Linked DNA regions of Drosophila melanogaster. The protein of the gene in region 1 interacts with the protein of each later gene in a pairwise test. Each region holds a gene or a part of one and is shown in the gene's direction. Other genes may lie near its edges.

The links. Proteins that work in one complex are often made in the same cells at the same time.
Region 2: the proteins of CG10147 (region 1) and chinmo interact in a two-hybrid assay, tested with the Drosophila melanogaster proteins (one large-scale study listed by BioGRID).

What each region holds. Positions count from the first base shown.
Region 1 is NT_037436.4:6,484,231-6,490,059, reverse strand, and holds CG10147 (uncharacterized protein), read left to right. Parts: upstream 1-1,635; 5' UTR 1,636-1,718; coding exon 1,719-2,204; intron 2,205-2,264; coding exon 2,265-3,125; 3' UTR 3,126-3,893; downstream 3,894-5,829. Other genes in the region: bulli, read right to left, coding at 1-142, 198-590, 647-1,130, 1,192-1,299; CG42747 (uncharacterized protein), read right to left, coding at 5,004-5,375, 5,498-5,829.
Region 2 is NT_033779.5:1,648,470-1,654,800, forward strand, and holds the start of chinmo (chronologically inappropriate morphogenesis), read left to right. Parts: upstream 1-2,788; 5' UTR 2,789-3,243; intron 3,244-4,305; 5' UTR 4,306-5,366; intron 5,367-6,331. UniProt on the Drosophila melanogaster protein: Required for morphological differentiation of postmitotic neurons during postembryonic brain development. Ensures production of appropriate neuron subtypes within a lineage by preventing precocious generation of late neuronal types of that lineage.

The sequences.
Region 1 (5,829 bases):
CGTTGCAGCAGGAATTCTGTAAGTCGAATGCGATCCGAAATCAGTTGGCACAATGGTTCAATGCAGAGGTTCAAAAACCACATGCAACCCAACTTGGCATCGATTACAATATTTGGCTGGAACAGTACCCAGTGCGTGGAATCTGCATGGGTATAAGTGTCAAATAAAGTAACTTTTTGGATATTTAAAGAACTTACACAACTCGCACTGCAAGATTTGTCCATCAGGCGAAAGTGAGGGCAGTTTCAGGCCAAACGGTTTGATGGAGCGCCCTGGAGTTATGGGTGTATGATAGGTTATTTCATTGATCACCTCTCCGGGCAGGGAGATGTCGAATAGCAGCGAAGTGCCCGAAGCTTGATGGTGCACCACAATCAGATTATCCACCGTGTTGATGGCGAAGCGACCAAGCAGACTTAAGCGGAGCACATGGCACTTGCGTGGAGCCAAGCCCGGTCCATTGAGCAAGTGCACCTCGACTTCCATCAGTCCGGTGGTGCTATTTGACTGGAGGATAAGCACAGCCAGCACGCCGTAAACTTGGCCTAAGGTGACCTTGCTCTCCTGGACATCGCGACTTGGATTGCCCACTGAAAGGAAAGATTAAAACGCTTTTAAAGGATTTTAACCCAAAAGGATTACTTACAGTCCACTTTGGGCAGCTTGGTGATTACTTTCTGCTTGACCAGCACCGGAATCAGGGAGTTTCCTTCGCTGGTGCACAGTAGAGCCACATTGGCATCGCAGCACCAGGCGAACCACTTGATGCCAATGCTCAGGGATTTCACAGAGCGCACCTGTCGCTTCTCAGGAACTACGGTGTAGACCTCCACGCCGGTATTCGAAATCAGGGCCACCTCTCGATTGTGGACCCAAACAAAGCCATGGATCAGAGTCTTCACCTGGTGGGTAATGATGTCCTGCAGCAGAGGCTGATCTCCCTGAAAACATATGAACTCCACGGAATTCTCCTTTCGCTGAACGGCCAAGATTTGGTTGTCCGGCGAGAACTTAATGGACCTTATGGCACCGCCACGGTCGCTCATGCAAAAGGAGATGACGACATCGTCGGGAGATCCAGGACCTTTGACCACCACACCAGTAGCTCCTCCAGACCGAACAGCAAATATCTTTACAGATATAGATTTTTAGCCATCATCAACATGGATTTTTAACATGTTTTAACTATACCTGCTTGTTGGAGTCATCGAAAAACACATTGGTTAGTTGGCTGACAGCATCAAATCGTATGGGATTTGGGGTTAGCTCAATGTAGTGGATTCCATTGGAATTATCCATTGTTGTGCTGGAAAAAAATAAATAACAAACTGCAACAGCACAACTTTTTATACACCCCCCATTAGAGATGTGACTTTAGCACAGGGTGCTAGAGATGTGCCACGAGTAACAAGCTGTTTTAAGTCACGATTAATTTCATTTATTGTACGTGCAAGGATTAAAAATATAAATGTATTTAACATTATTTGTGGTATGCTTACAGTAGATATTTTTAAACATTTATACTATATTTATTTAACCCCTTCCAACTCACGCTATTATTTGCCATCACTATTGCTATCAGCGGTATTTTTGCCAGCCCTATCAGCTGTTTAGTATACAAACAACAGCGATAAGAAAAAACGGCAGACAGGACACAGAAAAATATTTTTTCTTGTGAATTTAAAAAAAGGTCTCAATAACTTTGATTCAACCACTTAATGGGACACCTGGACAAATGCCGCGTATGCTCCAGCGATGTGGCTAGAGACGACGAGGCCTACAATTTGCTGCACCATCCATATCTCGCCGTCAAATTTTCGGAGTGCACAAATTTGGTGGTGGATCCTGATGACCAGGATATTTTGCCCAGCGAAATTTGCTCGGAGTGCTACGAGCTTCTGGAGAAGTTCCACTCCTTCCGAGCACTTTGCATTATAGCCGACAATAAGTGGCGTTCTAAAAGTCTGGTAACTTGGAAGAAAATAGATCGCAGGAAACCTGTTTACGAGGTCGATGAAGATGAGGAAGAGGAGCTGGAGCTGGAAGAACTTCTATTGGAGCCGCCGGAGATGATTATATGTGATACCAATTTGAGTGCACAAAATACCCCAATAGTCGCTGAACAGGCACCGCCAACCTTGGTATTCCATACCTTCACCGAAAATGTCCAGCAACCCCCGGAAACGGAAAAGAAAGCTTTGGAAGTGAGTTTGGGTTTAAGGTTTAAACAGGAGTGTAAGTTAAGTTGTATTCAATGATTTCAGGAGCCGCCATTGACCACATACAAGTGCGACTTGTGCGCCGACGAGTTTCGAGAGGAGAAACGCTTGATTCTGCACAAGAAGGAACACCAGGGACACATGCTGTATCATTGCACTGAGCCCGGATGCGAGGAAGCTTTCAACCGATTCGAGAACCTCAGGCAGCACGAGCTAGAGCACTCGGAAGTGGGCATGCGGTTTGTCTGCGAGGAGGAGGGCTGCAACAGGATGTACCGGCACAAGGCCTCGCTGAAATACCACCAAAGCAAGGCTCACGACATTGGCAAGCCTTTGAAGACCCATATGTGCGAGTTCTGTGGTCGGGTGTTCAAGACTGGCTCTGCCCTAAGCCAGCATCGGTTCACACACGGTGACCAGCTGGTATTGCCATATGCCTGCGAACTGCCGGAATGTTCTATGCGATTCTATAGCACGGAGAAACTCAAGATCCACATGATGCGTCACCAGGGCATAAAGAACTTTAGTTGCCCCTACTGTGGTCTCAAGAAGACGACCAAAAACGAACTGCGACTGCATATCAACTATCATACTCTGGAAAGGACCTGGTCCTGCAAGGATTGCCCCAAAGTTTGCAACAGCTCAACGAGTCTTAAGAAACATATCCGCGCAATCCACGAGAAGGCACGAGATTATGCCTGCAGCTATTGCGAAAAGAAATTTGCCACCACCGACACGCGAAAATATCACGAAATGACCCACACTGGCGAAAAGAACTTTGAGTGTCACGTTTGCGGCAAGAAATTTATACAACCCTCTGCCTTGCGCACCCATCGCAAGGTCCACGAATCGGGGGATAATCAGCAGACCGCTTGTGCTCTGCTGCAACTGACTAGCATGGGTTAAAGAAGTTAACATATTTCTATTTTAGGTTCAGTGGAAAGTACAACATTCATATCGTATTTTACTTGACTCACAACTTAATTAATATTTACATACCTCCTTTATTGAGGGATTTATTACGATAACGAATTAGAAGAGCAGGGAAGAGGCAATTTTTAATAAACTAGTCTTAGTTTCTAATGGCACAAATACATGCCATTTTACCCTTAATAACGTTAACAAATCAGGAAGTTTAGGGTAAATGGCATTAATTAATAAGCTGTAGTTTTTCTATCTTATCAAGAAACTAATTAATATGACAACAACCCGCAATAACGACAATAAATCTTATGGTGTAGGGTATAAGTTAATGACAATAAATCAGAAGGTGGAAGGTACAAGTATATGACGATAACCCCAAATAATGTTAACAAAACAAGAAGAGATTATGAATGGAGACAATAACCCTTAATAACACTAATCAGGAAGTGTAGGGTAAAGTGAATTATTTTAAAGAAACTGCACTTTTAGTTTCTTACCATTTATGTATGTCAATTTACCCTTAACAACGAAAATATCAGGAAGATTAGGGTAAAAGACGTTTAGTATTATAGTCACATTTGCAACTTACACTTTAAGTAAACGACAATAACTTCGAATACTGACAATAAATCAGGAAGTATAAGGATACGGGGAGTTTTGCAATAAACTTTGGTTTAAGTTATTCACGTTTGAGAATATGCCAAGTTATCCAAATCAGGAAGTAAAGGGTAAAGTGCATATTCTTTTATGAAGTGTAGTTATAGTTTTTTGTTTCGTTCTGTTTGTTTCTTAAACTTTAAGTTTGTTGAATTTATAAAATTGTTTTCTTATTACCTATTTTTTATGAACTAAAACCTTTTACTCGGTTAAAAATGAAATTATATACTTTAAGAGTACTATTGTACTTACTGTATCGACAAATAAATACTCCAATAAAGAACCATTTCCTTTTGGGATTCAGAATGTAAATATCAATAATTGTTTAATTATATTTTCAACTAAAACAATAATGTACAGGAATTGTGTGTGTGTGTGTGTGTGTTACTAAATAAATCGGCAGAGGATTCGCTTCCTGCCGCGGACCACTAAAAACTAAAGTACATCTGCTAAAGGTCGTGAGTCTGTTTATTGTATATGGTATAGTATATAGATAGCTTTGCATACATATGTATAATGGTGTGGTAAATGATATGACGTGCCACGATCATTTCCCCCGGTAAATATGGTGAAATCTGTTGCATTAAAATCGTTGTAAATATGATTCTTCAGTTATTGTTATAGATATATATTTGTATAGTTATATATGTTGGTGAGCTAAATGCGTTTTCTTTTTTCGGCTGCTGTAAATATTGAGTGTATAAATATGTTGTATTCGTATGTATATATCGTTTCTATATTTGCGTGTACTGATCCTGGGGGGAAATACGATTTCTTGTCCATCGCGTTCACTTCACTCGTTCTAAGCCTATGAAAAAATGCGTTTGTTGTCGTTTTTACATTTTTAGAAAATGTTTAAAGTACGTAGAACATAAGAATATAGCATATTTTTAGGCTAAATATCACCCACGATTAAATCGTTGCTTAGAGACTACATAAAAACTAGACATATAATACATTCTTGCCTTGTAAGTGTGTATAAATATATCCCAATATCGGCAACGGGTACAGATTATAATTTCAGACATTAACCAAAGACACAAGTCCATGCTAAACACTAAACACTATGGTATGCCAGTGTTAAATATTATGTAAATTTAACCTTAGATCTGTGGGGTGTATATAACGTACTTCTATATCCTATTAACATGTTAAGCTCGCTGAACATTTCACATTATGTTTGTATTTAAACGCTTACTCCATTTAGACATAGTCCGAGGGCACTGTGCTGGTGCTCGTCTCGTTGATGGCCGCCAGTCGAGGACCTCGTCGTTGCGTCATCGCCGCAGCCTCGCCCGGCGTAAGGCCATTGCCCCCACCACCACCGCCTCCAAGGATGGCGGCTGCTGCTCCTGCAGCCACAACACCGCCACCTCCCACTCCTCCGCCATGATGATCCCAGTTGGGCAGCGGCTGGGACATCACGTTCAGTCCGACAATCTCGTAGGCGCCCTGATTACTGCCACTCGCTCCGCCGGGCATCGCGGTCACCGACAGATCCGAATAGTAAGCACTGCTGGGTGCCGAGGAGACCACCATGGGAATGTCCTGCTCGTGGCCCTGGTAATTGTATTTCTGTAATGAAGGGTGGATTGCAGGATTATTTTCTGAATTATTACTGAATTTCTGTCATGAATTGGGCTGTAGGTATTAAACCAATTTACCAACTATTATTTTACTTTATTTGCGCTACCCACCTCGCCACACTGACTGTAGGCCGTATTCTGATATGAGGGATTGGCGGATCGCACGGACTCGCGATCCAGTTCCGCGTAGAGCGCCTCGCTCACGCCCACCGGACTGTAGGCATCGTCCATGTGGGTATAGTGGTTCTCCGCCGGCGACGTCGACGGCGGACCGATCTGGTCGGGACCGGCGGAGGAGCGACGACTGCCGCCCAGCCAGGTCCAAACGCCGGAGTTGCTCGTGGGCCGCCGGATGCTGTCCGCCGAGTGCTTGATCGAGATGGGCGATCGATTTTGGCCACCGTTTCGGTTATTGCGACACCACCAAGGCTGCGGGCGGCCAC
Region 2 (6,331 bases), on another chromosome or scaffold:
TTTATGCTGCAATTCTTAGAAAAGTTCCTTCGATTTTAAAAATCACATTTTACGATACAAAATTTCGATTAAATTTGATTAAGTTCGCTTTATCATTAGAAACGAAAGTACAGGCTGATTTTATTAGCAAGTATTTCACTTGAGGCCTTTTCAGCTTCATGGCACCACTATCCATAACCCCAAAATGTAATATCTTCTGCACGGCATAAAAATGCAGTATACACACATAAAACTGTGTTTTTTTTGGCGGCTCCAAAGCAAAAGCGAAAAGCACAAACAAGCAAACATATTTATGTACAAAATACACAAGCAAACAAACAAATATAGCCGTGCAAGTGTACATAAATACATACAGGCGAATGTAATTGCCAAATAGTGTACATAGGCGAGCCTACGCACTCACGCACACAAACAAGCGAGGTAGAGAGAGAGAGAGAGACAGAGAGAGAGAGAGAGTGAGACAGCAAAAACAGCAAAAGCAGCGCAGCAGCAGCAAAAGCAAAAGCAACTTTGCAGCGACGTCAGTTTGAGTACATAACAAATAAATGCTAAAATTTCACGAAATACCAAAAAACGCACACCCAAAAATGCGCGCACACCAATGCAAACACCCACACAACCACACGCACGCGCCCCACACAAGCACACACACACAGACGTTGTGTGTATGTGCGTGTGTATACAAGGCATACGAACGCAAGCTGCAAAAGTGCGTTCGGAAACAGAATTTCGGGGCTGTGGTCGCAGGCCCAAAAAGTGGAGCATATAACGCACAGCCACCCACTTAATCCAGCCCCTTTCCACAACTCCCTCAAATGCACAGAAAATAAAAGAAACGAAATATCAATAAAAGTAATATTTTGATGCGCCTATTTTCTAAAGTTCAGATGAATTCTGAATGCACATGAATCGTATGATTGGTTTCTCGTTTAGAATCTATCCATTGTATATAATTATATATATTGTTACATTATTATTACTATATAATATAATAATATTATATTGCTTGTACTTCTAGTATTATTTAATTTATTACTTTTTCCTTTTCCACGTTTTTTTTTTTCAGTGCGCTAACAAAAGTTGTGTAGCTAAGCAAAAAGTTGAGTGACGAAGAGCAGGGGAAGACGTAGGTCCAAAAAGTGCGTGCAGTACTGCAAAAGCAAATGGAGAGCCAAAAAGAGAAGCACAGGGGTGGATTTAGGAGGTGGAGTGAGGTTTATTGGCGCTCGACCGAAAAATGCACTGCATTTTTCGTTATGGAAAGGGTTTGATCTAGTGGTATTTTTATAAAATAAAAATATATGAAATTAATTTAAAATGCATCGAAAAAGAATTATTAAGGAACGCGTTCCGGAATAATTCCACTTCCGACTGGGGAAGCAAAAGCAGCAGCAAAAGCAGGAGCTTTTGCCTTTGCTTATTGGATTTTCGACGCCGGCACTCCACGTGTTTCTTGAATCGCGTAAATTGTTCGTTTTCCCTTACCACACCCCGCCCCTTTACCGACAAGCTTTCATTGTCATTGTGTGTGCATAAAATGGCAGCAGAGAGAGAGAGAGAGAGAGAGAATGGGAAAACATGCGCCAAAAAAAAGCTTACCGCTCTCTCCTCTCTTTCGCTCACTGCAAAACGAATGCGCATTGTTATTGTTTTTGGCAAGGCTGCACTGAAAAAAAAATACTGTTGCTAACGAACTGTCAATGAATAGAAATAAGGTAATTGTTTGATTCAACTTTATCAACTCTTTTTCCACTAAAATTAAGTGGTTATTGTTTGATTGGCTAGGAATTTGATATTTTTGATGGGAATTGCATTCAAAAAAGGGACTCCTGACACTTGTGTGAATAGGGGAAGTTTTTGGGCTGAGAAATGAAAAGCATTTTGAGGGTTTTTGTTCCAATTTTGATGGTTTGATCGGAAAGTTCTCAAGGGATATGCAAATTATGCGAGAACTGAGTAGTTAGGTTATTATTGTTTTCTTCCTAGAAATCAAAGACCAATTGTAAGAATTTTCTAAAGAATTCCAAAGAATTCCACTAAAAAAATTTTATCCTTTACTTTTGTTTTCTGAGAGTGATCAAGATTTTAAAGAAACGTAATGCGTTCTTTTGCATTAAAGCTATGCAATTAACATTTTTCCCATATTCCCATCTTAACTCATTGTGCCGATCTTAAAGTGGTTTTCCATATAAATCGCCTCTTGCGAACCCTATTTCTATTGCATCTAATATTCAGAGACCACCTGGATGGAATCCCCCGCTGTTCGAATAGGTTAAGACCAAGTTAAGGTTTGCTTTTGCTATTTCGGGACGAGATTTCCCTAAACATTTTCCACTTGAGCGGAGCTCCTATAAATTACCTCATGTCCTTTGCCTTATGCAATTGCGCCTGCAAAAGAGAGAGTGAGAGAAAGAGTGAGAGACTCACCCCCGGATTATGAGGATATATGTAATTTTTATCCTGGGGCGGCAGTGCATACACACAGAAAAAGACATGCAAAAAGCAGTTGCAACGACCATTACTTCTACTCGCCTGAGTAAATTGTGTTCTAAAAATCATTAAAAAAAAATATGTAAACTATTTTCTGTTATACTTTAGACTATTTTCGGTTATCCTTTTTAAGAATCCTTGTTGGAGATGTCCAATCTGACAATTGCAAGTTGCTCGCCTGCATTCCAATTGGATTAAAAGCTCGCTCGCTCGCTCGCGCTCTCTTTCTCTCTCTCTCTACGGAGCACACCACTGCACGCTTGTTCGTTCGCCGCCTGTTGGAATCGAAATCGAATCGGCAGTCAAAAAGAAACTGCCGTGTTGAACGGACGTGTTGAAGTTTCGCGGTTGCTTGTTTCGGTGGTGCTCGCAGCAGCAGCAGCGTTTGTGCATTCGCATTCGCAGTCGCAAATTCGCATCGCCTCGTCGCTCGTCAGCCCTGGCAACTGCAGGCAACTCAAGTTTTACACGTAAATTAAGAAACGAGGAAGCACGGACAGAATCGAAACCGCTTGATAAAACAGTTATTCTCTACATTTCTGAACTGAAAGAACTGCAGCGGATGAAGTGCAAAAAGCGAAAAGTGCTAAAAGTTTGCGGCATTGAACACTTTTAATTATTATTTACGTTTTGTTTGTGTTTCGTCGAGCAAAGCAAATGCACAAACTAACTGTCCAGTGTGCATGTGTGTGGCAAGAGTGCGTGAGTGCGTCGTGAGTGTTGCAAAACGGCTGTTCGCCTAGTAATTCAAAGGTAATTTTGAGTGAATATTGATCATATTGAAGTGCATGTGGTATGTTTCAAAGCTCAAATAAAGTGACATAAAATCAAAAATGAACAATTATGCGTGTGTACTTGGTTTTCTCGCACACATGAAATTCTGGCCTATGTGTGTGTGTGTGTGACTTTGCAACTCGAATTTCAAACGGTACAAAACGCAGCATAAAAAATGAAGCGAATAGCAAAAGCAAACTGAGAAAAAGTGAAGTATAGACTTTTATGCATAACCAAAACGTCTGCATTTTTAATCAAGCAACAACAATAGAAAAATAAGCAAAAGCAAACTACAACAACAACAGCGAGGAGTACATGGAACAATAAACAACCCTCCCCGTTTTCCGCCTCCCCCTGAAAATAAACAAGGCGCAATACCAGTGAACTGAACCCCTTTTTTGCACTGTGTGTTTATGTGTGTGTGTGTGTGTGTGTGTGCTACGAAATAGCAATTAAGGGAGAATAGAGGAAAGTGCATGAAGTGCAGGAAAGAAGGCAAAATGCAATTAATCCCCAGGACACTTGTTCAAAAAAGCGAGAGAAAAGTGTAGAATAACGGTGAACAAGTGTTGAACAACTACAGAAATACACTACAAAATGTGAAAACTTCTTAAAAATAGTTTTGAAGTAAATGTTCTTAAAACAATTAGACAATTCACTGCTCAAATAAAAATGTTTCCCCTTCCCCAAAATTTCCAAGTCCCAATGCCATATAAAGTGTTTTTGAGTAGAATAAAAGACATTTGCCAGAAGCAAAGTGGGAATTACGGTCCCAAAATGGGAAAATGAAATATATTCTGCGATAATAAAATCATTAATCCAATTCCACTTACAAGAAATCGGGCTGATAAGAAACCAGAAATTCTGGGCACAAATGAAATGAAATTTATTCGGGTGAACTGTGACAAATTAATATAATATTAAAAAGAAAATGAATACTTAAAACATGTCACATTATCCCCGAATAGATTTGAGTTTCAATCAGCCAAATTCCACTTACACTTTTTAATAACAATTTTCTAACCGCTTTTGTATTTGCAGCCAAATGTCAATGTGAAAATGTCTCAACGAGCAAATTTTAGGAAAGTCAAGAAAAACATTCAACGACCTCAAAACCAGCGAATGCTACAAAATGCGAATCAAGAACATTTAACCATCTAAATATTCAAAATCAATTTAATTGAATCAAATAACGCGAAATTGCAACAAATCAACCTAAAAATGAACTGAAAACAAAAACATTTCGAAAAACAACGCAAAATTCTAAAATTGGCAACATAAGTTTTGGTCTTGAATTAAATACAACAAAAATAAATTAACAAAAAACGATTTTTGGCAACAAAACATCATACATAAAATATACACAAATTGTAATTATCTCAAAACGTCCACACGTGAAAATGATTTGCAACTAAGATGACAATCTAATAAAATCAATGTAAATTTTTAACGCAACAAAAGGAAAACCAAAACCGTCAGCAAAAACCAGCCCAAAATCAGTTGAAAAGCCGAGGGAAATCTTTTTAGAACAAACGCAGAAAACCGCAAAAATTTAAGCCACCAAATTGGTAAACTATTCAAAATTATTGGTTCGGACATACGCAATACTAAACACAGCAACACAACAACAACAACAACAACAGCAACAACAGCAGCCATAGCAACTACTACAGTGATCACTACAGTAAAAGCAACCGCAACAGAAGCAGCAGATAAAACGTGTGTGTTAGTTTGCATAAAAATTTCGTTTCGATAAAAGCAAAGCAAAATCATTTAACAAAATAAATAAAGAATAAAGTAAAAAAAAAAATTACCAATCGTAATACATGTATTTATAAAATATATACCTATACATATATCTATGCTTACGAATTATATCGGAGAATATTTGGTAAACAATTTTTGATAAAAACAACTCGAGTATATATCCTAACTAATTAGCAACAAAAAGAACTAGAACATTTGGCCTAAGTGAAAAAAAAAGTGAAGTGAGAAAAACTAAAAAGAAAAACTTATAAATTCAAAATTACCACTTGTGAAAGGTGTTACAACTGAGGATTCTGGATTTGGATTAATGCGTAAATTTGCAATTGAATATTAAGGTGAGTTTGTTATGTTATATTTATGAAAAATTCACAACTTGTCATTTTTTCACACATCTCTTCGCATTTCTTAATGGCCCTTTTAAGTTTCCCCACGCACGAAAAAGTGCGTAAAATGAAAAATGTTTTTTTTTTTTTTAGAAAGTGTCCACAAACATTTGCAAACAATTACCGCTCGTAAAAAAAAGGCAAGTGCTCCGCCTCTAATTACAATTATAATTTATGCAAAAAGTAAGGAAAACATTTTTTGGTCAAGAGAAAAATTGTCTACGCACTTTGCGTATGATTTATGACACTCAAAACTTGGCGTTGCATATTAATACGCGAGAAAAAAGCAAAAGTTGCTTGCTTGTCACTTCTACATGTGTATCTACGCACACACACACACAAACTCTCTCACACACTCACGCACGGAAAGGGGTGTAGATATTTTTTGGGGTTGTGCATAAATTAAAAATATATTACTTCTGCTTCTTGCCGATGCACAAAAAAAAAAAAAAAATGCGGCGCAGTTGACACGCAATATTTTTCGACTGCGCTGCCGGCGCCGCTGCCACTTTGACCTACTTAGCAAACGCAGCGTGTTCCAAATTTTGTGCGTTGTGTACTTCTTTGTACCGCTCTCGCCCCCTCTCCCTCGCGCACTCGCCCCGTCCCGCTCGCACGCGTTGGGGTTGGTCTGGCATTGCGTGCGCTGGAAGTTGTAGTTTTTGTTTCAGTTTCTGTTGTTGTTGCTGCTGTTGTTGTTGTGTGGGGTCTTCCGCATTTAATTAAATGCACAATAGTTTTTAAAGCTTTTACACCTCAAACAATTTCAACAAGCATTTAAATATTCAATATGCATTTTAATTCCTAAAACCTCACTTAAGTCTACAGAGATTGAAAAAAAAATAATAATAATAATTCGAAAGAGAACGAATCTTATAGATACTTCAAATATCTACAAGATACATCAGTACTTAAGC